Linked DNA regions of Rhinolophus ferrumequinum. The protein of the gene in region 2 interacts with the protein of the main gene of each other region in a pairwise test. Links are inferred from orthologs where the notes say so. Each region holds a gene or a part of one and is shown on either strand. Other genes may lie near its edges.

Evidence for each region.
Region 1: the proteins of CDK6 (region 2) and CCND3 interact in binary tests that used the Homo sapiens proteins (3 or more experiments, as listed by UniProt). The link is inferred for Rhinolophus ferrumequinum from reciprocal best matches to the Homo sapiens genes CDK6 and CCND3.
Region 3: the proteins of CDK6 (region 2) and CCND2 interact in a two-hybrid assay, tested with the Homo sapiens proteins (2 studies listed by BioGRID, with this or other methods). The link is inferred for Rhinolophus ferrumequinum from reciprocal best matches to the Homo sapiens genes CDK6 and CCND2.
Region 4: the proteins of CDK6 (region 2) and CDKN2B interact in binary tests that used the Homo sapiens proteins (3 or more experiments, as listed by UniProt). The link is inferred for Rhinolophus ferrumequinum from reciprocal best matches to the Homo sapiens genes CDK6 and CDKN2B.

Annotation. Positions count from the first base shown.
Region 1 is NC_046286.1:11,637,998-11,645,500, forward strand, and holds the start of CCND3 (G1/S-specific cyclin-D3), read right to left. Parts: upstream 3,001-7,503; 5' UTR 2,846-3,000; coding exon 2,648-2,845; intron 1,792-2,647; coding exon 1,576-1,791; intron 1-1,575. UniProt on the Homo sapiens protein: Regulatory component of the cyclin D3-CDK4 (DC) complex that phosphorylates and inhibits members of the retinoblastoma (RB) protein family including RB1 and regulates the cell-cycle during G(1)/S transition.
Region 2 is NC_046303.1:33,410,702-33,418,014, reverse strand, and holds the start of CDK6 (cyclin-dependent kinase 6), read right to left. Parts: upstream 3,010-7,313; 5' UTR 1,628-3,009; intron 1,081-1,627; exon of another isoform or gene 1,016-1,080; intron 947-1,015; exon of another isoform or gene 551-946; intron 291-550; exon of another isoform or gene 141-290; intron 1-140. UniProt on the Homo sapiens protein: Serine/threonine-protein kinase involved in the control of the cell cycle and differentiation; promotes G1/S transition. Phosphorylates pRB/RB1 and NPM1.
Region 3 is NC_046293.1:86,595,894-86,602,967, forward strand, and holds the start of CCND2 (G1/S-specific cyclin-D2), read right to left. Parts: upstream 3,001-7,074; 5' UTR 2,728-3,000; coding exon 2,533-2,727; intron 756-2,532; coding exon 540-755; intron 1-539. UniProt on the Homo sapiens protein: Regulatory component of the cyclin D2-CDK4 (DC) complex that phosphorylates and inhibits members of the retinoblastoma (RB) protein family including RB1 and regulates the cell-cycle during G(1)/S transition.
Region 4 is NC_046295.1:18,101,848-18,109,532, reverse strand, and holds the start of CDKN2B (cyclin-dependent kinase 4 inhibitor B), read right to left. Parts: upstream 3,021-7,685; 5' UTR 2,553-3,020; coding exon 2,397-2,552; intron 1-2,396. UniProt on the Homo sapiens protein: Interacts strongly with CDK4 and CDK6. Potent inhibitor. Potential effector of TGF-beta induced cell cycle arrest.

The DNA.
Region 1 (7,503 bases), on a different chromosome or scaffold from region 2:
CTAGCCAGAAGACCCAGATTCTCCTCATCTACTTCAGTGCAATGCTGAGGCTGGACACTTCCCTCCTCTGGGCCTCAATCTTCTCTGCTGCACAAGGACTTGGACTGACTGGAGTTCTCTGAGGTCCCTTCCAACTCTGACCTTCTAGGAAGCCATCTGCACACTCCACCCCCAGCTCAGGCAAGAGTGGGGGGAAGAGTGCTTTTTGCCTGTTCTGAAAAAACACCACACACACAAAGACACACACACCATCCCAATCTTTTCACAAAAAGGAAGTCCCCTTCTACCTTCCAGCCCAAACCCCTCCAAAAACATCGTGCTTGCTGGCCCTGGAAACCAGTTCCACCTTCAGACTTGCCAAAAACTACCAGATTCATCACAAAGAGCCGTGGGGCCTCCCGGATTCCCATCTCCGGCCTCCTACTCCCATCTCTGAGAGCTACTTGGCAGGAAGAGGAATCCTGTTCCTCAACAAGCAGCAGTCAGGGGCCCCAGTACCCTGGCTTCCTGGCCAGCCAATCACAGCAGCCTGCATGCTGCCCTCCTCCCCGGGAAATGGGGCCCAGACTCCTCTCAGGGTCAGGAGAAGACTTGGCCGCACAGAGCAAGGTTGAGGAAGGTGCCAGCTCCCCCAGCCTCTCCCCCAGACCCCCCGGGAGACGACCCACATGCCCTAAATAACCTAGATCCCAGCAGCGCCCCCACCTCCTCTCCAGGCTTTGGGAAAAGAACCGGTGACTCTCCTGCCGCCTCGGAAGAGCCCAGCCCAAGTTCCCAGCAAGAGGCCCAGGAAGCCACTTCCCAAACCACAGGAGTGACAGCAGCTCTCCACAGGGTTATGAAAGACCTTGGTCAGAGTGGGCGGGCCAGGGGAGGGGGCATCATTATCACATCGGAAGCAGCTGCGGCTCAGCTCCCAGTCCGTCCCTCAGCTCTGGCCTTTGGCTAAGGGGGAAAGGGAGAGATGATTCCACCAGGCCTGAAGCAGCTGCTCAAGTTGCTCAGAATGAGGATTAGGAAGGAGCTGTGTCTTCTGGGATATAAAAGGAAGGAAAGAAGGTGGGATGAAACTCCTTGGCCCTTCCTTAGAGCAATCAGGGCCGGGCTTTAATCGGCTCTGGGAGGCTTTTCAATCACAAAGTCCACATGGGGATAAAGACTCACCCAAGGCAGCCCCCCTCCCCCACTGAAGCACATTCCACTCCCCCACTCCAGTGGGGGAGTGCAGGCATGTCTTTCTGCTGCCAATAAATAACTCATGGTGGTTGTGTAAACCCAGAGGCAAAGTACTAGTGAGTGCAGACATGCAGTTTGACTTGTTGCTATCTGGGGGAAAGACCAGGAAGCAGTGGCACCCCCTGGAGGTCAGGAGAAGGGGAGTTAATTCATACTGGCAGCTTAAGCCTGGGTTGGGGCTACCCTAACCATCACACGCACTGCCCCATGTTTGCCTAATACATAGCCTCTTCGGTCCACGCGCCCTCCCCATGGGGCAGAAAGCCTCTGAGGTCTTAGCTTTCCTTTGCCGGTAAGTGAGGAGAGGTGGTATGTGTTGGGGGTGGGTTATGCACGCACCCGCAGCTGGCGGGGAGAGACAGCATGGTCGGTGTAGATGCACAATTTTTCGATGGTTAGGGGCGTAGTCTCGCGTAGCTTGGAGGCCAGCAGCATGCAGACCGCACCCAGGAGTTGCAACTGTGCCTTGTGGGTGGGGACACAGGACAGGTAGCGATCCAGGTAGTTCATGGCCAGGGGGAAGACTTCCTCCTCACAGCGCTGCTCCTCACACACCTGGGGAGAGGACGCACAGTCACTTCTGGGGCAGGGGCGTGGGAAACGCAGCAGCACTAAAAGTGAAAGGGGGCGCTGAAGGAAGTGGGACGGGAACAAAAATGCATGAAGGAGTAAATGTGCTTACAGTGACAAGGACTAATGCGGAGGGGGATGCGCCTTCCCCAAGGTGACGGCCCCACTTCCTCTGCGTTGCCTCCTTCCCCTTCCCGGGGGAAGGGGTCCGCCAGAGGCTCCCTTACTTAAGGATTCCACACTGAGACTCCCCTCCCCCATGGAAGGGTGCGGAAGAGTCACCCACGGTAGCCAGAGAGCTGGGACCTAACTATTACCACCACCCACTGCACACACCCAAAAGGAAGGGAGGAGACTCCTGCCGCTGCCTCCCGCACTTTTCATTTCCCAGACCGCCGGAACAGCGCGCGCGCCACCCCCACCGCCTTCCCCGCCAGAACCCCGCGACAGACACAGGAACCCGCTCTGCGGCGGCCGAGTCCAGGGTTTCCCAGGCGCGCGCTCTCCTAAGAAGACAGGGCGGGGGGCGGGGGGGAAGCAAGAGACTCTAGAGAAGCCAGAAGGGAGAAGGTGGCCCCTGTCCCGCTTTCCCGACCCGAAAAGAGGGTTAGTTAGGGTGCCAAACCACTGGCAGGCGGAGTCGGGGTTAGGGAAGGGAAAGGGACACCACGTTGGTAGCCGGCTAGGGTGCCCGAGTGAAAGGCCAGGCCCGGGGCTCTGGGCCACCGAAGCATCTTGCTGATTGTTGTTGAGACCAGGATGTCCCAACAGGGCGGCCCCGGGATGTCCGGAGCCGAGGACGCAGGGACGGCGGGGGAGGGGAGACCCGTCCGGGCGGTACCTCCAGCATCCAGTACGCCAGCATCTTCCGCATGTGCGGCTTGATCTCCTTCTGCACGCACTGGAAGTAGGAGGCGCGGGGCACGTAGCGCTCCTCCAAGCGGAGCAGGCTCTGCAGGACACGCTGGTCCCCCAACAGCCGTGGGTCGGGCCCGGCCCGGGGAGCGTGCCGGGTGCCCTCGCAGCATAGCAGCTCCATACTTGGGCAGCGCACGGGCAGGACTGGAGTGCGGGCTCGCGAGCCAGAGCCGAGGCGGCGGGCCGGAGAGCGCGGGTCTGGTGCTGGCGCTGGCACTGCGCAGTGGAGCCCCGACCCGCCCGCGTCGGCGCGCTTGCAGCTTCCCTGACAGGCGCCCCGCCCCTTCGAGACGATGTAGCAACCGCGGAATGCTCGAACGTCACAACGTTCCAAGGGGCGGGGCCGCCGGCGCCCCAGACGGAAAGGGCTGGCTGGCGCCCCCCTCCTCCCTGGCTGCCGCATTGGTCGGCGGGGCGCCCGCCTGAAGGCTTCCGGGCTCCCGGAGCCCTCCTGACCACCCGGTGGAGGGAACTTTCTTGGAGGTGGTCCCCTCCCGCACCATCGAGCCTTCCCATTTTGTTTCTCTGACATTAGTTGCCCAGGAAAGAACTTTTCTCCAAAGGTTATTCATTCATTCGTCAAACCCTACTTCACCAGCTGCTTGCTCTGGGGAATATAAATACTGATAAAATAACTAGTTCTTAGTGAACACTGTTCTGAGCACTTAATGCGCAATAACTTATTAAATCCAAACAAAAACTCAATGAGTTAGGTATTATACTTATTTTGCAGATAAGGAAACTGAAGCACACTAACAGTCTGTGGCAGAGCTAGTCTGGCTCAAGAATCTGTGCTCTACCCCATTGCTACACATTATCACTGTGATCTCAAAGCCAACACCCTCTGCATCGCCTAAGACCCGGTTAGAAATGCAGACTCTCCGGCCCACGCCTGACCTGCGGGATCAAAATCTACATTTCAACAAGACCCCCTGTGACTCCTGTGCACATTAAAGTATGAGAAGGCCTGATCAAAATCAGCACATTACAGAAACACAACAGGGTGGAGAGGCCATAGATTCCAGGCCTCATCTTGTCATTAAGTCTGCCTTGTGGCCTTGGACAAGCCCTGAAGTCGGCCTTAAGCTTCAGTTTGAGGAAAAAGGGGGCGGAGAAACTGGATCCTCTGTGAAGGAGTTTCTTGCTCAGATTCCATAAAATCTTCCAATTGCCATTTCTCCTACCTCCCAAACTTTGGGTTACTTTGTAGTTTCCCCAAAGCTGGATTCCACGTGACCCCGAGGCCGACCACAGGCCTCCAGTAATGCTCCCAAATGGGAGGAGGCCTTGGGAATTCCTGCCTCTCATCAAGAGGTCCTTCTGAGGGAAAGGACACTAAGCAAGGGAGTTACTGAAGAAATAATATTGTATAGCAGAGGCAAGGTCTATGCTAAACAGTTTGTCAATTAATTGTTCTTTTTATATAACAAATTTTATTGTAGTTGTAATATCATGGAAATATTTATTTGTATTGTAGACAACTAAGAAAACACAGATAAAAAAACAGAAACTGACTCAAATACAGAGAACATTTTGATGGCTGCCAGATGGGAGGGGGTTAAGGGATTAAGAAGTACAAATTGATAGTTATAAAAATAGTCATGGAGATGTAAAGTACAGCATAAGAAATATAGTCAACATGTAATAATTATGTATGGTGTCAGATGAGTACCAGATTTATCTGGGTGATCACTTTATAAATTATATAAATATCTAGTTGGTATATTGTACACCTGAAACTAATATAATGTATGTTAACTGTAATTGAAAAAAATTTTAAATTATTTTAAAAAATAAAAGCCACAAAAAGAAAAATAATAATTACTTGCAATTTCACCATCCAGAGATAATCCTTTAAAATGTCAATATTTATTTTTCTAAAATTGTTCTATGAATAAACACATATTTTAAAATGAGATCATCATAAACTGTTTTTGTAAGCATTTTTCTCACTAAAACAGTATTTACTGTAACACTTTTCCATGTCATTTTTCTACATTATTTTTAATGGCAACATAGGATGCCATTGGGTGAATATATCATATACATATTACCAAATATGTGTTGTTGGAAATTTAAGTTATTTCTAGTTCTTCCCTATTAGAAACAATACTGTGAAATATTTTTGTGGTAATATTTTTGTATGCACTCATGATTATTTCTAGAAGTGAATTATTTCTACAAGTGGAATTTCTCAGTCTGGAGTTATGAAACATACTAAGGCTTCTTTTAGATTTTTAAAATTTATTTTTCAGTTGTAGTTGGCATGCAGTGTTATATTAGTTTCAGGTGTACAACATAGTGATTATAGACATTTATAGTTACAAAGTGATCACCCTGATAAGTCTAGTACCCATCCGGCACCATACATAGTGATTACAATACTATTGACTATATTCCTTATGCTGTATTTTACATCCATGTGACTATTTTTATAACTGACAATTTGTACTTCTTAATCTCTTTTACCTTTTTAACCCATCCCTCCAACCCTGCTCCCATCTGGCCACCATCAATTTGTTCTCTGTATCTGTGAGTTTCATTCTAAGGCTTTTGATGTAGTTATTACTAAATTTTGCTATTGAAAGACTAAACCAATCTAATGAATAAACATTAGATATCTATTTTTAAAAACCCTCTGCCAACTGGGAAGATGAAAAGTAGTTTATTAGTTATAATATACCAGGGATGCCAAAAATATGTATACATATGACTTGCATTAATCTTTTGTTATCAGTATATATTATTACAATTTTAATACAGTTTTTTTCCTTTCTTAAAATGTGTATACATTTTTTTTGGCACCCTCTGTGTGTGTATGTGTGTGTGTATCTTTTTTAATTCAAGAGCTCTTATTGTGCCAGAATTAATGTGTACCATGTACCTCATTTAATCTTAAAGTCCTTTTCTCCTTCCTATGGTCCGAAATATGAATATGAAGTTTCTTTAGTTAAATAATCATACCATTGCACTCTTTCAATAAATAGAAAAACATATTTCAAAATGTTAAAGAACAGATGTGAAGTTATGGGGAGACAAAGATGTTGAAGTTTAAGAGGTTTTTAGGGTGCAGAGGACTAAAAATGTAGCTTTTGAAATGAGTACATAACCAGAAACCAGATCTTTCCTAATGGAAGGTGTTCCTTTATTTTCAGAATTATTGAGTAGGACTGTTCAGGTTAGAAGGTTGTTTATCTTTGATGAGAGGGTAAACCATCATTATATATTTTTATTTTTTCCCCAGTTTTATTGAGGTGTAATTGACATACACATAAACTGAATTAGCTCAGGATGCACAACATAATGACTTAATATATATACATATTGCAAAATAATTACAATAAGTTCAGTTAATATCTATTACATAATTACATTTTTTTGTTGTGATGAGAATTTTTAAGATCTACTCTTTTAGCAACTTTCAAATATGCAATACAGAACCATTAACTATCGTCACCATGTTGTACATTACATTCCCAGACCTTATTTATCTTATAACTTATTTATGTTATAACTTATTTATCTTATAAAGATTGTATCTTTTAACCACCTTCACCTATTTCACCCTCCCCTTACCCCCCACCTCTGACAACCACCAAAATGTTCTGTTTCTCTCAGTAAGGATTTTTAGATTCCACATATAAGTGAGATCATACAGTATCTGTCTTCCTCTGTCTGAATTATTTCATTTAGTATAATGCCCTCAAGTTTCATCCATGTTGTTGCAAATGTAAAAATGTCCTTTTTTATGGCCGAATAATATTCCATTGTATAGATATACCTACTTTTCTTTATGGAGAAAGCAAACTGGAGAGATGAAAAGTAGTTTACTAGTAATGATATTTTGACACATTATTAGACATTTACATTTCTTATGTAAATTAATTACCTATTTCATACTCTTTGCCCATTCTTTTACACAAATGTTTGTTTTTCTTATTGATTTCTAAGTGCTCGATTACATTTTAAGAATATCCTTTTTCATATTTTTTCTTTGTCATATATTTTATACATTTTTTTTTTTTAGTTCACTATTTGCCTTTCTTTTTTGTTTTTAAACTTTTATTTATTTAAGTGTGTTTTTCCAGGACCCATCAGCACCAAGTCACGTAGTTGTTTCAATCTAGTTGTGGAGGGCGCAGCTCACAGTGGCCCATGTGGGGATTGAACCGGCAACCTTGTTGTTAAGAGCACCGTGCTCTAACCATCTGAGCTAACCAACTGCCCCACTATTTGCCTTTCATTTTTGGTTCATGGTAGAATTATTTTTTTAACAAATAGAAAGTTTTTATTTTTATGTAGCATTATTTTCTCTAATGATTTCTTCCTTTGAACCATGCCTTCCCCACTGTAAAATTATACAATTACTAGAAGAAAATGTAAGAAATACTTATATTTTAAAAGCAGATTTCTGGGCTCTGCTTCAGGGCTTTTCTTTCTTCAAGTCTATGAGGAGACCCCCAAAATTATGCATTGTCAAGAATACATACAATAAAGGTTTTCCTTTTTAATGCGTTGCCTTCAGTGTGTGACACACTTCACATTTATTCAGTGTGTCATATTAAGTGGGGCTCTAGCCTTATTTTTCCCCAATTATCATCCACTATATCCCATGGAACTGATTTAACAATCTGTTCTTTATTTCACTCATTTCCCTGCTATAAGCATCCCTTGGCCTGGTTCTTGCATCTTAGATGATGTCTTATTTTGGTCATTTTTCACTGAGAACTGGACCTCAAAAATCCTGCCACTTTTGTCTAAGGAACCTCAGCTGGTCTT
Region 2 (7,313 bases):
GGTTGGGGGTCACCTTCCCTCCCCATTCATTTGCAATCTAGGACCCAGGAATCCGCCAACCCACGGCCGCCCCGCGGCCTCGGCGGGACGTTAGCCACGCCGGCCGCGTGTCCGGAATTCCCGGGGCACTTCGGAATTACCTGCCCCATAACCGCTGGCCCGCTCGCCTTCTTCCAGGAATTAAAGAAACAAATGGCGCGACCCTCACGGTGTGAGGGCGGAAGGGACCACAGCGAGGACAGACACCCTCACACTCAATCCATTCAAAACTCTCCTTAAAAGGTGAAGGTGAATCCAGGCGGGGGCCGAAGAACGAGCCCCCAGAGCCTGCCCGGGGGGTCTGAGCCAGGCCGAGGGCCACACAGGTAGCGGAGGAGCCACCGCCAGTAGCGCAGCCCCGTCGGCGTACCCGCGCCCCTCCTCCCCTCCAGCCCCAGGCTCTGCAGCGAAGGAAACGTCGCCGACGTCCCACCCCCGCAGGGAACTGCGCCCGCTGCCCCCGCCCGGCCCCGCACAGCCCGCCCAGGCTCTCCCCCCTCGCTCCCGCGACCTTCGGCTCCGGCGGAGAGAAACGGGAGCAGCAGTGCCTTCCCCCCACCCTTCACTTTTTTTTGTTGTTGTTGTTGTTGCTTTCCCACGCTGGCTGAATGTGACTTGACCCCATTTCAAAAAAGTTTGACATAGTGCTTCAACATTTCCGCATTCCTCTGCGACTACAAAGACTACAGCCGCCTCCTTCTGCTTTCTGTCTCTGCTCTCTGTCTTCACACTCAATGAAATGCTTCATGTGCCTCTCCCGAAGCCTGCCAAGCACCGCAAGGGTCGCCACCAGCGCAGCGACAAGAGGCCGCACCGGCGACCAGGGCTCCCGCGTGTGCGCACACGCAGATGCGCCCACGTGCACACTGGCCGGCGCGCTGTGGGGCGGGAGCTGCTCACTGCGGGGTGTGTTTTAACTCCGATATTTTAAATTATAAAAGTAAACTGGGAAACTAAAGCAAACGTGAGTCCTTACCGGGCTCCAAACCTGGGCACTGGCAGCCTGCGTGCACTCTTCTAAGTGTGCATAACATGCCCGCAGGGGTTGCCAGCAAGGAGCCTGCGTTAACACTTATCTCGTATCTCGTGGTGGGAAGGTGGAGCCCACACCCACACCCACATCTCAGCGAGCTGGAGAGGGAGCTCTCGTGGGGAAATCAAGATGGGGCACGGAAACACGATCTCCCGCACTAAGTCCCCCCATTTTCAACCCTAAATGTGGATCACTGTGTGAGTGTCCGAGTGGAGTTTAAATTCTGTTTGAAGAAACTGGATAAGGAGTGCTTGCTTAAGTAGGTGGTTGTGCGCAGGTTGTGAGGGAGCAGGCTCAGGATCTCTGTGTTGGGGGTGTCCCTAGTGTGGTATGTCCTCTTGCCAGATTAGGAAAAACTCCTTTAGCTCCCCCACACTGGCCCCCGTAACTGCCCCGCCTCGGTTCGTAAGGGGTTAACCTACGCGGATTCCGAGGACATACCCCACAATAGTCTACCCACACCTACACCCTCGCTTCCGACCCTAGCCAAGCCCCCCAATCTCCCCGGGGACCCCCCACCCCGCAGCCCACCCACCCGAGTGCACAGCTCCTCACCTGAGGGGCCTGGCCTCGTCCAGCCTCCGGAGGGGGCTGCAAGTGTCAGTCTGATGTCCGCACGTGTCCAGCGCGGCGCGGAGAAGGTAACCCGGTTGGAGGAAGGAGTCACCAGCTCTCTCTCCCGCAAGGGGGTGGGCACAGCGGCGGAGGGCGGAGGGACCGCGGAGGGCGCCGCCCGCACGGTTCGCTGGGAGACAGTACGGCCGCGGGGCTCTGGCCGAGGCTCGGGGCAGAGCCGGGGAGGCAGCAAGGGGCGGGGGCGGAGGCCCGGGAGACCTACTCTGCTCGAGACCCACCCTGCGGCGGGGTTGGGGACTCGCGGTGCAGTAGCAAGCAAGTGTGCAAATTAAAGCCTTCCGGAGACAGGGGAGGCGGCCGAGACCCGGCTGTGCTCTGAGCCTCCCAGCTCCCCAGCTCTCGGCTCCAACTGGGGGGCGAGTCGGAGGTGGGGGAGTTAAATGAAAATTTCCGGCTTTCACTGCGATTGGAGTGGGGGTTCTTGCGACTAAAACAAGAGGCGTGAGAGGGAGAGTGGGATGAGACGTCGGGAGTCGGCAGAGTTTCCAAACCCAGGGTCGCCCACAGTTGGGGTTTTGACAGAGTGAGGCGGGGGTATCAGCAGTCTGTGATGTGGACGGATGGGAAAAACACAAAACAACCAACAATAATTATGAGAGGCCGGTGGGGATGGTAAATACCCACACTTTCCAAGAAACTGAGAAATCAGACCGAAAAATAACTTTTCTCTATTAAAAAAAAAAAGTTTGGCAGGACGCCTTGCAGAAAATACTAATCTGTCCAAGCACTTTTCACTTTCTACATGAGCTACATTTGTTTTGTTTTCCTTCGCTTCCTTTCGGCCTCACAAAGCCCTATCTTTTCCTTTTGGACAGAGGATATGATTTGGAAATTGTCAGGCACTCTTGTGGTTAACGATCTACTTGAAGGGGCTGGCGGGTTCACAATTATTAAGTGGTTAGCAACTGCTGAGGGTTTGGGGAGCTAAAAAGACTAAAATTCAGTGTAAATAACAGAACAGCAAGATAATAGACACACACAAAGAGAAGAGAAAGTGATTCGGTGGGTGCTCAGTTTAAATGCATTATTGGAATTCTGAAATTTGAAACCTTGTAAGAATTTATACTTTACCTGCTGAGAAAACCTGAATACAATTATTTCAGGTGAAAATGAGATTTTGGAAGGAAAAAAAAGTTTCCAAGAGTTTTTACCATAGGGTAAAACAAAACTTAAAATTAACTGTTTTTTGGAAAGAATTCAGTTTTGTCCAAAAATCTGTATCTGTAGAATACTTGAAACCATTTTAACATCTTAAACCCAAGCTAAAAAAAATTATTTCAGTGCTCTGTGGAAAAATTAAAACCCAGCAAAATTCTGTTTAAATTGGAAATATTACCTCTATAAATCTTTTGACTTTTTGAACTAAACCATGTTGCTAATTTCACACTAGATCAAAATTTTGCCTTTATAAAATTGATTTCTATACTACAGTGTGAAGTGGCAGGTTAAGTAACTAAAAATTGTTGCATTTCCATTAGCAAATATTTTGCAATGTATTCTAATAATTTTTTCTTAAATAATGAAAGTGAAGAATTGTGTTTCTGTGTGCTTAATATAATTCATAAAATACATTTTGTGTTTAGGGGCATGTCTTCTAAAATAAAATCCAATTTCAGAACAAAATTTGTACTTGTAAAGATATCTATGATCTCATATATCTTCTAGACTTAAGAAAGCAAATTGTTGGATTTTGTATTTATATAAAATATTGGATCACTACAAATCATGAATTAGACTTTAAACCCAAGACACAAATGACAATCCTCCATTTTAATAATTACACTTATCAATGCTTTTAAAATCTTAAAACAAGATTTATTTGCTGGTAATCAACACATTTATGTAATTCAGAAATAATTGTCAATCAATAGTCAGAGGACCCAGTAAATGATTGTAAAAATTTATTTGAGTACATAATTTGTTTAAAAAATATTAAGCTGTAAATATCTTTAAAATTAACAGAAAAATGTCTTTTCTATACTGCATTGCATTTTTAATTACTTAATTTGACAACAACCATAGGTGAATTAGAAATTCCATAATTTAGGTTACTAGATCACTTAGGCAATGTAAAAAACAATGAAACTTTCATTACATATGTTAATACTGAGTGTTAACTCTCTTTATATCATCTGCTTTCTTTGATATTGTTAATTTATCATTGTTCACTCTCCCTGGTTATGGTTCACATTGATACCTGGTTGCTTAAATCTTCAGACCAGGAAGTTTTACAATGGATTTTATAAAATTAGCAAATACCAGATTGTTTTTGTTTATGGACAACTTCCTCTGTGGATAACAGGTTATCATAACAAAATCTGTGCAAAGTTTATAAACTGTGAACCAAATTCCGACTCTTTTGTTTAGGAATCTTCGATGAATGAAAACATAGCATTTAAGAATAAATAATGATTTGCACCAGTATTTTCACACCACACATCAGATATTCTAAAGTTGCAAATCATCTTACAGGTTTTTAAAAATTAGAACTCATGGATTTATCTCCAAATATGATGTTGTAGCTTACACTGAAAGTTTTCTTAAGTGTCACAGAAAAGATATATTCCATGTGTGAATATTTTATATCATATATCTGTAAATTTTTGTTTTCACTAAAATAAAAAAATCTCTTTAATTATGGTCTATAATTTATAACCTCATTTAAGAAATGAGTAATTTATTTAAAATTAGTAATTATATAATTAATGTACATCTAATTCTAAGTGATCTCTGACTTATATTAGCTATTTGAATTTATAAAATACATTTCCCAGAAATTCAGAAGTGAGATTTTGCTTAATCTACTACATAATAGTTTTAATTGGAGGTCCATGTAAATGTATACTTTTTGTCTATAAATCTCTCCTGTTTGTTGTTTTGATAAAAAACCTTTTCTGGTTTAATAACTGTGAAATCAGTTACCCTTGTTTTAAACTTGATTTTTATGTCTATGTAAATATACTTTGTTAAGTAATTACCACGAAAAACTATAATTTTAACAGAAATAGCAATTTATAATTCAGTGCATTTTAATGCATTCTTTTTTTTCCCCAGGCATTTCCAAGGTGTTTTCTTGGGTTTTCCCTTAAAATGTAACATTGAAAATTTGCTAATATTCTAGGAAAAATCAATTGTATTACCAACTTTTGCAACTGTAAAATTATGAACTTGAAATGACTTTTTAAGTTCAATCTTCTAAATAAATTACTTGGCATCAATTTGGAAATGACCTGGGCTTTTTTGGTTTTGTTTTTGCATGTGATCTAGTGCATTGCATTTGAGCAGTGAAACTTGAAAAGATTTTGATTCTTGCTGTGAGGGAAAAAAATATATGGGGTAGTAGCTTATAAAATTTAAGGGAAAAAAAACAGACATTATTATCTTTTGGAACATTCCGTTTTTATGGATTCTACAGCTCTATAATTATCCCTGGGCTACATGTCAGTACTATGTTCATATTTGTATAATTGTCATCATCTTTCCTATTTTTTTGCCTTTTGACAGACACTTACATCTTCTTTTTTCCTTTGTGTGTGTGTACATGTGTGTGAATATGTTCTTGGCTATTGTGACATGTTTGAAATGTGTTCTTAAGATCCTTTCATTATCTATATTAGAATTCTGAGTAATCAGAAGAATAACTATGGAAATACACTTATAAAAGTTAGTGATAATCACATGGAAATATCTACATTTCCTCTACATTTAGAATGTCCTGTAATTTTTTTTACTGACTTCTAACATTTCTTTTCTAAGATAATAAATACTTGCATCTCAGCTGCACACATGGCCTAACAATTGTGTTGCCATAGTTGCCTTTGGTTGACCTTAAAACATATGTACATGTTTTAGATAGATCATTCAGATGAAGTAGTAGAGGTACAACACAGTGGGCATGAATGATGATAAAGTGGGATCTGGGAGGGTGGGAGGAAGTACAAAGAAAGGCACCTGGGACAAACTTCTATTAATGGCCTGGCAGCAGGTAAAAGTGAAGAAAGCACATGTTAATGTCTCGGGCCAAGAGATGTTCCCCAGTGCTCTACGTATGGCGTATCTAGGCAACTTGAATCTTTCAGAATGAACAGCATTCTATGTCTATCCTATTATGAAATGAAATCTATCTTACTGAATGCGATTGTATAATGTATGCATCCATATACATGTAACTATTTTATGTTGTCTCATAATGGATTTTCCCTGAAAATACACATAATGGAATTCTTTGCAGAATTCTTTTTTTTAAATTAAATTTTATTGGGGTGACAATTGTTAGTAAAGTTACATAGATATCAGGTGTACAACTCTGTAATACATCATCTACTGTGTTTCCCCGAAAATAAGTCCTAGCCGGACCATCAGCTGTAATGCTCTCTTTTGGAGCGAAAATTAATATAAGACCCGGTATTATGTTATGTTATGTATGTTATGTTATGTTATGTTATGTTATGTTATGTTATGTTGTCATACAAGACCTGGTCTTATATAATAGTAAAATAAGACCGGGTCTTATATTAATTTTTGCTCCAAAAGATGCATTAGAGCTGATGGTTCGTCTAAGCCTTATTTTCGGGGAAATATGGTATATATTGCAGAATTCTTTAAATGCCTAGAAGAAAGTAGATAATAGAATAGCTCCGTGGATCAAACATTTTACCATAAATTGAAGAGAGGGTCCAATTTTTAAACCCTACTATAAACTTGTTCCAAGTTACTCATAACTTCTTATATCCAGTATCTAGCACAGCAGCTGTCAAGTATTTTATGTCCAATAACTGTTTGTCAATGGGAAAATTGGCTTTGTACCTTATTGTCCGTCTTCTTTGGGACTACTTCTTTCAATTTCCTTGAAGGGGTCATGTTAAAGTAATGTTTAATATAATCCCAGCAAAGGTTTAGGATCAGTGTGCTGATTTCAGTACCGCAGAAACGTGTCTTCTCTACCTGCAGTTCCCTTTCCCTTCAGCCTTCTAAATCCTATCATTTCAAGGCCGAGCTCCTCCTAAAACCTCGATTCCCTCAGCAGAAAGGCATTCCTCTTTGCTCTAACTCCTTGAAGTCATCTGCTCTCTTTAGCCTTCCTAAAAGCTTGATGCTCTGCTACCCACCACCCTGAGCTCCCCCAAGGGCGTCCACAGTGCCTTGCTCCCTGTGACAATGCTATGTATGCCATGTGGCCATAGTAGGTGGTCAGTAAAGGCAGCAGAGGGTCCTGTTTCTCTCCATGAGTGTTACTGAGTCAAGCAGACACAGAACAGAATAATGTGACATCACTAGAATAACATCTGAAAAGTTGAGAACGGTGTTCCAATTTGCTTACATGGGAAAAAAACAAACAAAAAAAACAACAAATAGGTCATCCTGCTACTTTGTGTGGATTTGTTATATTTTCTCTTGTGTTGCAGGTATTAGTTATTGAAAAAATTTTTGTCTAAAAGAAAATATGTTTGGATGAATTTCTAAATTTGCCGGAAAGACAAATTCTCAAATCTCATCTGAAAAAAAACGTGTTTAGATAATTTTCTCCACTTCCTATCCCCGAAAATTTCAACTAAATGATTTTTCTTTAAAAAGAGCAAATACTAAACTCTGAGGTAAATTAAAT
Region 3 (7,074 bases), on a different chromosome or scaffold from region 2:
GGTCACAGCCCCACTGGAGGCAGGAGTCCAAGCCTCAGCTTCCTCCAATGAGGGCCACATTTTGACTTTGTGCAAAAGTCAGTGAGCTGATCTTTAGTGAATGGCTATCTACGTGCAGGTATCTTTAGACTTTATAAATATGTAAGTCACTACCTTTGACCTCCGGGTTCTTAGGGGACACACCACAACACATTCCTATCATGTGAACACATTCCTGTCATGTGGAAAGTGGAACTGTTTTCTCAGAATTCAGTGATGGAAAATTTGCAATTTTATTAAAATGTTATCTCCATGAAGAGCTTATTCATTCGTGGATGTAGCCTCAGTCAGTACTTCTTAGCATAGTGTCTGGCACACAGTAGGAACACACACAAAAAACCTCAGTTTAAAAGAGATATCTCCCACAAATGTGAAAATTCCAGTGGTGGGTAATTTTGCATCCCAAGAATTTGTTTGGAGAGCAGTGGGTAAAAGCAGAAGAGGCCAGGAGACAGCGTGAAGAGAGACAAGATGAAAGGCAGAAAGGGGACAGTCGTTACCAGCAGCTCCTGAGGCTTGATGGAGTTGTCGGTGTAAATGCACAATTTCTCTGCAGTCAGAGGGATGGTCTCCTTGAGTTTGGAGGCCAGGAACATGCAGACAGCACCCAGGAGCTGCAGGTGGGTCTTGGGAGTCGGAACCCCAGCCAAGAAGCGGTCCAGGTAATTCATGGCCAAAGGGAAGACCTCCTCCTCACACTTCTGTTCCTCACAGACCTACAATGTGGGAAAGAGTTGGGGGGGGGGGAGGGAGAGAAAATAGTATCAGGAAAAGAGAAAAAAGTGAAAAAGCACAATCTATGGAAATAAAAATATTTAATTTTTATAGGGAGGGGGAGGGGAGTAGAATATGTGGTAAGAATAAAGATGAGGAAATTGGGGTAAATCTAAATAGCTTCTCTGTTTAGTGGTATTTATTCCCCAGGAAACTAAAATAAGAGGTGAATTAAAGATCCAAAACCGAGAGGCAAAGAAATGCGCAGTAGCAGCGCAGCCCCACGCCGCTCCCTTTGCCTACTCATTTTTTCGCTCACTCTAACTCACTCACTCTCTTTTTTGGATTTCGTCATCTTTTCAAAAAATCAATAAAAATATTCTGGAAGCTCCGAGGGTCTCCTTCTTGGCCCCATCCGGACCCCCAGACTCTGCTCTATCATTCCCGACAATTAGAAAAAATGTCCGGGGGGGTCCCTGCGGCCCAGGCGCCGCTATTGGGGGGGTGGGTGGGGAGAGGTGGAGAAGGGAGGGGGAGGGCGCAGAGGAGGAAGAGCGCCGCAGCCGCGGCGGCTGGAGTCGGAGCAAGGGGGGACGGTTTCAAAAAATAATTAAAAATCGAGGAAATATCCTAGAAAAGCCCTTTTGGCGTGAAAACCCCAAGGAGGATCCAGGCTTCCCGAAACGGAGGTTTCGGGTGCCAGAAAGGTCTGTATCTTGACCCCTGGGGCTTTAGATCCCGAGGGGAAACTTGGAGGGGTGAGCGCCGCGGCGGGAGTGTCCGGCTGCGGCCCACAAGGGCAGAAAACTAGGGGACGTGGTGACGAGCTGAGGGAAAGATGAGGACCCGGGAGCCGCCGGAGAGAGGCACGGGGGCTCTGATCTCTCCTTTAGGGGTGCCCCGATATTCCCCCTACACACACCTCCTCCCCCCCTTCCTACCCCACCCAAATCTCCGCACCGAGGAAACTGGAAAGCCAAACTGTAAGTAACCATTGTGAAGTGGGGGTTGGGGGAGAGGGCACTATTAGAAGTGGGGTGGCCGAGATAATGGGGTGCGAAGGGGAGCGGGCGACGTTTTCCAGCCTTTCCAACCAGAGTTTTGCAAAGCAACATGGCGAAACCGCGGCAGGTCCAGAGCTGTGCATACGTGGGCACACGGCTTGCTCTCGGCAAAGATTTGGAGCAAGGGTAAAGAAGTATTTCTTTTGGGTTCTCCTAAAACACACATTTCTTCAATGTGACTTCCGGGGCTCCTGAATTCCCCGTTTCTCTCCTCCTCCCTCCTCCTTCCCCCTCCCCCCTTAGTGCCAACGCGGAGTCGCGACCACATGCGGGAACCTGAGGCTAGGACGAATTTGTTCTGGCTTTTGGGGAGGCTGCCTTTTACTTCTGGGTACCGATTTCACGGTCCTACTCCCTTCTTCACTGCACAGAAAGCAACCCGGGCTTCGCAGAGGGCAGGTCGGGATGGGGGTGGGAAGAAGAGGCAGCCACATGCGGGCACACGCGCTCGGGATGCTCCCCCACCCCCGCCCCAGGACAGCCTCGTTTCTCCCAGATTTTCCTCTTCCCTCCTCTTCCCCTCCCCCAGTTAATCTCGCATCCTGCAAAGAACAGAAAAGCAGCCACGCGTCTCGCCAAAGAGCGCGAGGTAACCTCGCACACGGGAGCCGGGAGGCGGGCGCGGAGGCTGTCCTCCCTCAGTTTTAGGGTCCCTACGTGAGTGGGGGCCGAGAATGCGGGTGGGGACAGACCGAGCGTCAGTCTGCTGACCTACCTCCAGCATCCAGGTAGCCACCATCCTGCGCATGTAGGGCTGGATGTCCTTCTGCACGCATTTGAAGTAGGAGCACTGGGGAAGGTAGCGCTCCTCGATGGTGAGCAAGTTCTGCAAAACGCGGTCGTCGTAGAGCAGGTTGGCGTCCGGCACGGCCCTGCGGACCCGGTCCACCTCGCAGCACAGCAGCTCCATGGCCAGCCGGGTGCCCACTCGGTCCCTGCTCTCTCCGGAATGGAAAAGTTTTTTGGGAGGAAGGAGGAGAGAGAGTTCCCCTTACCTCCTTCCTTTGGCTAATAGGGGTTTTCGGGGGGGGGGGGAAGTTTAGGGCAGAGAGAGGAGCTGGGGGAGAAGAGAGGAAAGGGATGGGCGGTGGGAGAGGAGAGCCTCGGGGGCTGCCGACTCTGCCTGCCCTCCCCTCCAAACTTGTCTCGTTCTCCCCAGCTCCCTCTCCTCTTCTGCTCTCCGAGGCAGTGACGCAAACTGGCTGGGCAGTTCTCCTCCCTCTCGCCCCGCTCCCTTCTCTGGTTCCTCCTCCCCCTTTCCTCCCCTCCTGTGCCTCCCCTCCTTTCAATCTCTCCCTCCCTCCCTCCTTTCCCCTCTTGTTATTAAGGAGAACAGCAGCTGGCCCGACCTAACTTCAAACGCGGTCCCCCGCCCCCCCACCCTTCTCCTTAGCTCTCCGAGGCCCTCTCCCTCCATCCAGCCCCGCATGCCAGGGGCCCCTGATAGGGGAACCCACAAAAAACCCACCGATTCCTACTTATTCCCTCTAATTTCGCACTCTGTAATGTATCGTGCCAAAATACGACCCTCCAACTTTGGCTTCTTCAAAACCCATCCTATCACTCCTGCCCACGTATTGAAGATTCAGGAATGATGGGTAGAATACTTGATGGGGTGGGCTCAGACAATTTAGAAATAGATCCCTTCAGTGAAAAACAAGGAGGGCGATTTTAGAAAATTGCAACCTCGCATACCCAGATATAAAGGTTGTGTTCCTGATATTTATGTTCCTGATCATTTCAAAGCTGTTTCAAAAGCCCAATCAAAGGAACCAGAACAATGTCCCCCCTACACCGCCCCCCCGCTCCGCAGAGTGTGTGGCGAGGAAAGGGAGGGCGATAGGAGGGAGGGGGCGGCTTCTCCGACGTGGTAGAATGTGACCCTGAGCAGAACCGTCCTGTACTTGGGGGCGCTACGGCGCCATTGGGAGACAAGGCGAGGCGCCCTGAGCTGCAGCGGCCGGGGGCAGGGCTGCCAGCGGTTCCTTCGCGGCCAGCGGCCACGCAGGAAAAACCCGCTTCCTCGCCCCTGCATCTGCTGACAAGCCGCCCGAGGTGTCTGCCGCGAGCGTGGCCACTGATACAGCTTTCTAGGAAATAGCCCTGGAGGGGGAGGGGAGGGGGGCGAAGGAGGGATTAGGTTTGGCTCCCCCTCACCCCCCCTGCGCAAACAACACCACTCCTTCCTTTACCCCAAGGCCCCTGAATTCCACCCCCCGGTCCTTCGCCTGCATCCTCGCCGACCCCTCTGGGTTCACGCCTCACTTGCCAGCCAGGCTTTCTCCCCCGGAGCGGGACTGCGGTGGAGACGCTGCCCGCGCAGTTGGCTATGACACGTGCTCAAATGCATCCTCGGGTCAAGGCTGCTTTCACAGGGGATATGGTGGCGTTTCCTTACCTCCTTCCTCCCGCCACCCCCCCACCCTGCCTTTCAGAATTATTTCACTTTGGGAGGAAGGGGAGTGAGCCCAGAACCCCCGCGTGTTGGTGGAGCTGACACGTGCAGTGAGCATGGCGTGGGTCCGGGCTCTGGACACACCGAGGTCCGCAGAGTGCCTCCTTCTCCGAAAAAGGGGGCCCGAGAGCAAGCGGGGCGGGGGAGGCGCGGGCTGAGTGAGCTGCTCACTCTGTTCCCTTGAAAGGAGGGGGGAGGTGGAATAGACAAGGCGGGCAGTGAATAAACCAGAGGTGCTAGCGATTAACTCAGGCCCGGGGGCCAGCCCCTTTAAACGAGGGTGGGGCGGAAGGGGTGGGGGGAGGGGATATCGCTTTAAAAGGGTGAGTAAGAGTTTGGGGCGCCGTCTCCCCTCCCTCTATTTGCATAGCCAATGGCTCTGGGGCTCCTGCTACTGCGCGCTGATTGTTACCGGGCAGATTACTTTTTTTTCTTTTCTTTTTTTTTCTGGTTTTTTTTTTTTGTTGGGTTTTTTTTTTTTTTTTTTTTTTTTTTTTTTTCAGTTGGTAGTGTTCCCCGCTACATCAAAAGGAAGCCTAGGCTGGGCGGAGGGAGAACAGGGACCCGCGGGCGAGGCTGGGGAGCGGCCGGGCGCCTCCGACCTTATCAATAGCCGCGGGAATTAGTGTCCAATCTCCTGTATAGAAAGGGGAGGGAAGGGGCGGGCGAGGAAAATGTCTAATTGCTGTAGAAGCCATTAGCTTTCGGGAAGGAAAAAAGCTCACTGAAAAACCCAAGTTGCAAACTCAAAATGAAACACTCGGCGATGACAAACTCAAAAGTGATGACACTCCAGCTGAGTACGGTGTTCCTCGGAATAGAGTCGGTCCCTGACAATCACCTATTGATTTTACTCAGACTTCCCGACTCAAGCTTTTGAGTCACTGCGGGTAAATACATTGTTACATTTTAAGACCCCCATAAAAGAATCACTCAAACTTCACCTCAGCCACCTTTGAATGGATCAAAGCAAGCTGCTGGGGGGTTAGGGGGGAGAGGTGTTTTTAAAGTATAAATCTACCCCGACAGGCAAGGACAGAGCCGGCGAGGGCTTCCAGCCTCTTGACATCACTTGATAACTAATCGAGCGCGGTCTCCTCTCCACCTCCCTGCAGGGAAAGCATCCCCAGCCCTGGGTCTCCTCGAGGGGAGAGGAGGGCGGGGAAGAGGCGGGTGGTCGTCCTCGGGGCCTCGCCCACCCTGGGAAGAAAGCCTGGGTGGCGAACGCTCAAGTCCCTGGCCCTCTAGCCCCTTCCACTCCTACCCTTACCCCCGTCAGGCTTCGCGGAGAAATTCCGGCGGGTTGGGGGGCAGAGGTGCCGGCGTAGGGGAGGGGAGCGGGCGGATGTCCCTGTCTCAATTTACCCAGATCCGCGAGTTCGGACGCTTCCCGCGTGGCAGGCTGGCCTTTGCAAGTTCCCCCGTTCACTTCCCCTTCCTATTACGGAATGCTCCCGAACATCAACTTCGCCACGAATCGGTCCCCCAGTCGTGTTTCAGTCTCCAACACGCGGGGTGGGGAGCGAAAGGGTGCGGAGGTTGGCAGGAATGTCTCTGGGAGATTTGGACTGGGAACCGAGTTTTCCCTTTCGGTCGCCACTCCGACTGTGTGTTAAATCCTTAATTTTGCTGGGTAAAAAGCACTCCCGGAGCCACGCGGGTAAACGCACGTTGCCTTCTGGGCAAAAGTGCGCGTTTTCTTTGAGAGTAGACTTAGGTATGGAGAAAAACCAAGAAGAGCCTGTGCTCTGGCTTTTAAGTCAAAACTGGTCATTGTTGGGGGGGGGGGGAGAAGGGAGAAAGAAGACTGTTAGTTCTTTCTTATCCCCTTTGCACCCCTCAAGGCAAAAAAAACACCCCACACTATCCTGTCCTTTGTAGGATCAGTGATAAACTTGAGCGAACGCAAGTTTTATTGGACTTTTATTCCCTCCTTTGCCGGCTCCCCACCCCTACTCCCCGCGTTCTGGAGTTTCGGTTGGAAAGTGTACAAAACCCTGTAGGTGCAGGGTGCAGCCGGGTGTTGTGTGTTTATAGGTACATTTCTGCAAGAACCTGCAACGCTAAGCATACATACTCCCAAGCTCACCTGGCGGATGCCGGCCAGCCAGGTGATCGCGCCGTCGGCTCCAAACCTTGGAGCCGCGCGAGTTCGAGCCCGGCTCCCTCCGCGTCCCAGCACTCAGGCCGTGTTGGGGGAGGGGAGTGAGTTTAGGCTCAGGAATGGGGGCCATTGCCCTCCCCCTACATCCTCCAAAGCGTAGAACTATGTATATGTTTCTCCACTGAGGGATGAATGGTCAGACAACCAAAACCGAAAACCCGACAGTTACTTGAAAGTGGATGTCTAAGTGTCCCAGTCTTGGCTGCGAGCTCCCGGAATATCAGAAAGGAACAGAAGGAGGTACAGAAAGAGGAATTGGGGGTCAATAGGAAGGGAATAAGAGCAAACTAGAAAAATGTGCGAAAGGAAAAGGAAAGATCGGCAACTGGAGAACACAGGGAACGGGAGTGGGTAGGAACAAGCCGACAGGAGTCTCCCAGAAGCCTGGGCATTGCGATTCCAGGTGTGAATAAGCTTCCGGGGCCCTCTCGCCGCCGCCCCCCCCGCCCGTCCTGGGGCTCCAGCCGGGGGCACAGGCCGGCCTGGCCTGCGCATTCAGACTGCCCCTGCGGCGCGCTGCAGCTTGCGCCGGGGCTGTGTGCCTGGGGCGGCAGATGCGATAGGCGTGGGTTAGGAAGAACTGCGCCTGCCGTCTGTTCACCCACCTAGCATCTTACGCCCCTCCCTTGGAAAAAAAA
Region 4 (7,685 bases), on a different chromosome or scaffold from region 2:
GCGAAGTTTAAAGGCTTTTAAAGTCTTAAATTATTTCCTTTGCCCTCCCCCATCACCATAATCTGGGTCTAAAAATATTAGACAGTCATATATGCTTTAGAGGAGAAAACAAGAAACAACTGAATTTAAAATAAGCTTTACTTTATTTAGCTGTCGTAGTAAATCCCCTGTGGAAAGCTTTTGCTTTTCAGTTATATATGAGTATGTCTGTGTTCATAAATAGAATACAGTCTGACAATTTGACCCAAAATTGGGGATAAAGGGAAAAATAGTCGTTTTATAAGATGATGAAAGCAAATTATTTGTTTTTAATAACTGGTTCACCATTTAAAGTATTTAAGTAAATGTTATAGAGAAGTGCTAAAGTTTAGAGGGTGAAAATGTAACGTAAAATAAACACTATATTTACATTGCATAGGATTTTATAATGTGCTAGGATTTTATAATGTTAAATAGTAAATATTTTGCTATATAAAAAAAGCTTGGGCTGGCCCCGTGGCTCAGACGGTTGGAGCTCCGTACTCCTAACTCCGAAGGCTGCCGGTTCGATTCCCACATGGACCAGTGGGCTCTCAACCACAAGGTTGCTGGTTCAACTCCTCAAGTCCCACAAAGGATGGTGGGCGCTGCCCCCTGCAACTAAGATTGAACACAGCACCTTGAGCTGGGCTGCCTCCCAGATGGCCCAGTTGGTTGGAGTGTGTCCTCTCAACCACAAGGTTGCCAGTTTGATTCCTCGACTCCTGCAAGGGATGGTGGGCTGTGCCCCCTGCAACTAGCAACGGCAACTGGACCTGGAGCTGAGCTGCGCCCTCCAAAACTAAGACTGAAATGACAACAACTTGAAGCTGAACGGCACTCTCCACAATTAAGATCGAAAGGACAACTTGACTTGGAAAAAAAAGAGCTTATGTGTTAGCAATTGAATCAGAACAATGCATAACTTAGAAAAAGGATGTTTTGAGTAGTAATCCTATAAGCATCCATTTGTATGCATGTACATTATACAAGCATTTACTTTCTTATTTTAACAATAAAACAATTTTTGATAACTAAATGTCCAAAATGGAGTTATCTGTTCTTGTGACTTTGTGTTTTAAAATGTACCATGCTTGAAACTAATACAAAATAATACTGAATGTCAACTGTAATTGAAAAATAAAAATACAATGTACCATGCGATTGAAAGATAACATATATATGTACATATATATATATGTGTGTGTATATATATGTGTATATATATATATATATATATATATAGCTTCAAGAACATTAGAAACATCCATTTCTCCCTTTAAAACCATATGTTCTCATTTCTACTAGTGATATAAAGGCTATTTCCCATGTAGAGAAGAGGGAAAAAAGTGGTTCTTAATATCTCAGGAAATGTTAAGTTAAAACTATAAATAAAACCTCTCTTTACATTATTAATATAATTTTAAGCCTTTAAGAACTACTTTACCATATTGTCATCGCTTTAAACTATCCCTTATTTCTAACACTTTTCTAAGAATTCAAAAGGAATAACACATTTTTTTCCTTTAAAATCTACACTATTAACAAGGTTCCTTAATAAAAGCTTGGTTCTGGAAGGTGATGTGAGGTGAATACTATTATAATATATACTATATAAATATGACCATAATAGTCAACAGTATAGCACAAAAACATTACTTTAGATTTTAAAAGACTTAAAAATATATCAGTGCTAATTAAAACGGTATTAATCGTTAAACATATTGAATAAACACATTTTAACAGTGAAGAAGCTAATTATTTATGAAGACTCTTCTATTTAAAAGGGACCTGACAGTTGCTGCGGGAATGCTGTTGTAATCCAAGTATTCAGTATGATAATTAAACAGTACAAATCCATAGAAGCATTTTTCTTATGTAACACTCAAGAGACACTGCTAACGTAAAAGGAATTAAGTACTGTGGTTGCAGAATCCTGTTTTGGGTCCTTTGTATTTAGTTGGCCTCCATAAAGAAAGAATACAAAGAATTTCACATCCCAGCTTAAAAGTTCACGGTGCATTTTTTCCCCCTGTGCTATGATTTTTGCATGCTTCCTTAAATCCAATCCAGCATGTGTAACCTGTAATTTATCTCTATCGCTGAAAGACATACAAAGCAGTTCTCCCCCAAATAAACGTTCCCTTTGCCCTTCCCTCCCTAATTGAATCTATACCTTTCATCTCTGATCATGAGAAGGGAGAAAAAAATATTGATATTTTTTCCAGGATTAAAAAGAATACCAAACTGAAGCAGTGGGTTTTTCATTCCCTTTCTTGAGAGACACAGTGGAGACCTAGGTCCCTGACGCGTCCCACGGAGGCCACCCTCCCTCATTCGTGCGCCCCCTGCCGGCCAGGCCCCGGGGCCCCAGCTACCTGGATCGGGCGCCTCCCGAAGCAGTTGACTCTGTTGGGATCCGCACCGGCTTCCAGGAGCTGCCGCACGATTTCCACTTGCCCCCGCGCCGCGGCGCTGGCCAGGCCCGCATCACCGTCGCCACCACCGACCAGGCCCTTGTCCTCCTCCCGCATTTCGCAGCCCCCAGACGCCAACTGGCCGGGATGATCCACCGCTGGCCTTGAGCTTCGCGACACTGCTCCCTCCCTCCCCTCTTCTCCGGGGCGCCTTTCTCCCCCGCAGGAGAGCTCAGCTCAGCGTCAGTCCCCTTTCGCGGTCCTTCTGTGCCTCGCGGGCGCGTGAGATGGCCAAGCGACCGGTCGTAAAGCCGGGTTTTTCCCGGCGCCCGCGAATCAGCGGATGCTCGCGGCTCGTTCCCAGGAAAGGCGGCTGGTGCGGCCGCGGCTGAGCGCAAAGCCGCTCCGGCCTCAGAGTGCGGGCGCGTTGGAGCGTCCTGCCTCCCTGCGGAGCTTCGCTCTGGCCAAGAGAAGAGCCGGCCAGGAATGAAACGGTTTCCAGCTGGGCGGCCGGGCTGGCCTCTCCCCACCCCCTTAGGCTCCGCCCGCTGTCCCGCCAGCCGGCTCGCTCGCGTCCCACTGTGCGGGCTGGGAGGCCGGACCCGCCGATGACGCTCCAGATGACGAACGTAGGGGCGGGGGGAGCCAGCTCAGACCACGCTGGGACGCATGCGCCAGACTCCGGGAGGGCAGAGGCCACTGCGCCGCTCTCCCGGTGTCCAGCGAAGCCTTGGCTAAGTTTTTGGAAACGTTGAATCAGTGTATTCAGCCCCTCCTTCCAGCAGGCGGAGTAGAGGATTTTCATTCCTTCAGCCTCCGGCTCTCTGGTTTCACGCTGGAAACGTTAGTCGCTCCCTGTGGAATCAAATGGCTGAGAGAAAGACGTTTAAAATAACTCTTTCTTAAGATGTCTGAAAGTGACAGCTCTGCACCTGTCATGCAGGTTAAATTCATCCCCAGGCAATACTTGAACTTCATAGCTTCACATCTGGCATCAACCTTAGCAATTTTCTTTTGAGTGTGTCTTCCTATTTGAGTCAGCCAAAAATCAGTTTCAGTGAAAAATTCTGAGAATCCTGTCTTGCATTTGGTTTTTATTCTTTTCGTTTTTGAGTTGTGGATACAATCATAAAAAAAAAAAAAAAAAGAACTACTCTGAGATTGACAATGGCAACCTGGTACATGTAAGATACTTAAAATACATATTTTAAGAATCTGAGATTCCAGTTTCATGATATTTGGACAGTTCATTTTTGTTTGCACTCTTACCTATTTAAACCCACCTCAGCAAGTATTTGATTTTTATTCGTCATGCGTAATAAAGGAAATTTATACAGTAATAATGAAACGTAATAAAACAGGGGTGTGGTGCTGGGCCTATCATTAAACAGGCTGAACCTGTCATTAAATCTTCTTCTGAAGATTTAAAGGACAAGTGCTTTTCTTTTCTTCCTAATCTTCCAAGGTGAGTTTGAATTAACATATGCATTGCTTTAAAGATTTAAAAAATTATAGCTGATGCTTGATTGAAATAGGAAGAAAACCACAAGTTATGTATCTGTTGCCTAAAAACATTGGTGAGGAACTACATGAAAGTGGGTCTTTCCTAACACTGAACAGTTCTTATTTACAACATCATTTTTCGGTTCAGAATGCCAAGGAGCAAGACAATCTTAAAGGGAGGGCAATTGCTTGCTGATTCACAAATGAGAGACTCCATCTGTTTTTTCTAGCATGGCTTAGCTAGGACTCAAACCACTGTAGAATGAGGAAGAGCTCTTCAAAGACTGGGGGAGGGACATGAAGCGGTGGTTAGAGCTCAAGATATATTGAATGATCCTCAGCAGAGTGGAAATCTACTTGGGTGGGGAAGAGAAGGTGGGAGCATTAATAACATTTTTTTCTCTCTCACCCCACCCCAATTTCTTAGTTTTCAGTTTCTTAATTGTTCTACCTTTCACACTTATTTGAGCCTCTACTTTTACCTGGAAAAACAAATTGTCCTTTTGTTTGTTGATGGTGGCTCCTTTCTTTGATCTGGTTGGAGAAATAGAAGTTTACTTTTGAGTGAAAAGCATCAATGGGCTGTTTTTGTCTAGTTCTTGGGACTCGTCCCCACGCAGTGTATCGGGGATTATAGGTATGTAGGTAGGGTGGGAGAAAGAAGAGGAAAGATGGACAGCAGGAAGGCAGAGTCTTTGAAATGGATGGTATTTTTTCTTTGGTAGTCACTCTCAGGGGCTGAGTCATCAGACTGATACAGGTGGAAGAGATGGCAAATGAGCTCAGTCCAGAATATCTTTATGAGAACAGCCTGACTACTCTGAAATTTAGTGCACAGCCAAATGTAACAAGGCAGATTGCCTTTTAAAGGAGGGTCGTTGGGACCTTCCTTCTAATGGATCCAGTAATTAATTTAGTTCATCATGTCCTATATTCCAGGAATCTACAGTTGAATAAGATATAGGTCCTAGCTTTTAAGAAACTCTCCCTAATGGCACTCAAAACTAGGAAATAAAAAAATTTCAATTTAATGTGACAACTTTACTGAGAGATGTGTCTACAGGGTACTTGGGGAGTAAGGAAGGGGGAACTTAACTCTCGATGGAGGTGCAAGGAAAGTTTCTTAGAGGAATTGCCAGCTGAAGAGAGTTTCTAAAGAATGCATTGTAAATTAACTGTTTCCTGTGTTCTCACCTTGGATTTCTCTGAAACTCAACAAAAAAGTTAGGAAAAGATAGCCTGAGCCAATGTTTGAGCCACCTTCTTTAGTGGTAGGCATGGCTAAAGTGTCTGAAAAAAACAAAACAAAAAACACAAACTATTTGGATTTGATAAGGAGATGGAAGATAATTGTTTTTTGTTGAAGGAGACGTAGATAAAGAGTGGTAAGATAGGGAAAAAGCCAATGGGCAGAGTGACCGAGACTCTTCCACAACACAGATATATGAGATTCGCAAAACCAGTTGGCTGGAAAAGAATTTTGGGCGGGGGAAGTGTTGTCAGGGGTACGCGCGATGACTAGCACCACGGACAGCGCTTCCCTGCTAAACGCATCTGGGTGGTCCTAATCCATTCCAGATTGAGAATTCCTGAGGAAGCATCAGACTTGATCTTCCAAAGCCTCTTCTCCCCTGAAATTCAAAGGAAAACACATAGAAGCTCAACGGACTTCTTTACAAAACCATCCTGCTCAACCTGGCTTCCCAATATTATTGGATGATCTAATATTCTCAACGTAAAGAATATTAACTATCCTCTATATTTAAAAGAAGAGAAATTACACTTATTGTCTACTCTGTTGCAAGTGCTTTATGAGTGTTATTTCATTTAACCCTCATAAAACCCCTATGCAACATGCATTAGTACCTCAATTTTACTGACTAAAGGATCATTAGTTACTAACTTGCATAGTAACTAATCATTGTTGGAGGTAGGGTCTAACCTGTGTAGCTTTGGAGCATCTAGCCTTTACACTACATAGTATTTTTAGCAGCTGTCATGGTAAGCTTAACTGGAAAAAAAGTGCAATAAACTGGCTTATAATTATTTTCCAGTCTACACTGTGTTTTCCAGATGGCTCACCTCACAGCACACCCTTAATAGACTTCAAAGATGACATTTCACATGTAATACAATAGCACATTTGTCTTGGACAATAGAGTAAGATAATGAAACATTTTACCTCTCCCTGAAACCCAGCTGTCTCTAGGATGAAACGCAACCTGTTGTTAATGCTTTAAACACATTTAAGAGATGGAATGGATGAGAACATAGTGGGGAGCTGAAACTTGGAATTGTCACAGCAATGCTTTTTAATAGGGTAGACAATTTATAAGCAAGAAGAGAGAGAAAGTAAACAGTAAATTGGCATAGCATTTTGGATGTAAATAAAAGGGAATGAGTAGAGTCAGTTCCAATATTACAAATAATGCAGATCCCTAGTGATAATGTTTATATTTTAGTTGGTGAAACTATATATGAACTCACTATAAAAATGTGAATAGAATCAGTCAAATGACCAAAAGAAGTACTGACATAACTTGTATATGTTTGGATTCAAGACAGTGTTTCTAAGTGGGGAGAGAAGAAAATTCAGAATCGCTTTTGAAGGTTTTTCAAACTGTATGTGACCCATCTCCCACCAGGAGGCTTGACTCTCTCTATTTCATCAGTTGAGGTTTATTGCTCCAGGATCCACAATGTATCTCCTTCCATTTGTGTTTCTTAAGATTAATATAATGGTGGACATAGTCATCATTTCAGTATCTGTATTGGATTCTTAAGACTGTAATGACAAAATACCACAAATTGGGTGGCTTAACAACTAAAATTTATTTTCTTACAGTTTTGGTTTCTCCTGAGGCCTTTCTCCTTGGCTTTCACATGGTCACTCTCCAGCTGCTTCTTTACATGGTCATCCTGTGTGCGCTCAAACCCCTGGTATCTCTTTGGTGTGTCCAAATTTTCTTTTATAAAGACACTAGTCAGTGTTAGGGCCCACCCCAACAGCCTTATTTTAAGTTAATCACCTCTTTAAATGCCATACTTCAAATATAGTCACATTCTGAGATACTGAGGTTTAAAGATTTAACATATGAATTTTTTGGGGGGAGTACACAGTTCATTCCATAACAGTCTCCTCTAATTTTCACCCATATCACTTTTCATTTATTTTAAACTGTTATTAATAATTTATTTATTTGAATAAAGCCAAACATAAGATCAACACATTGAAATTGGTTGAAATTGATACCAGTCTCTTCTATCTCTTTTCATCTATAGGTTTCCCTCTATTTTTCCTTCCCCCCACCTTTTCTTTCAATTTATTTATTGCAGGAATTGAATTGCTAGTTCTGTAGTTTTCTGAAGTCTGGACTTTGCAGAATGCTTCTGCATGATGACATTTAATATTTTTCTTGGTCACCAGTATTTCTTGTAATTTATTATTTAGATGTAGAGTCTCGATGTGATTCAGGTTTTATATTTTGGCAAAAATACTTCATAGGTAGCATTATAAATGTTCACCAAAGAGGCATGTAACCTGGTTGTCTCTCTTTCTATGATTCTAGAAGCCATTGATATGTGAGAGGATGAGTTACCAGAAACCATTTTCTCAAAGTAGAGATAGTTGATGGGAGCTTCATTGCCTGAAGATTATGCTGAAAAGATCAACAACTTGAGAGTTTTGCTTTATCTTAATGTTTTTGAAGATTGTAGTTAACATAAATATTTAAATAAATACATATT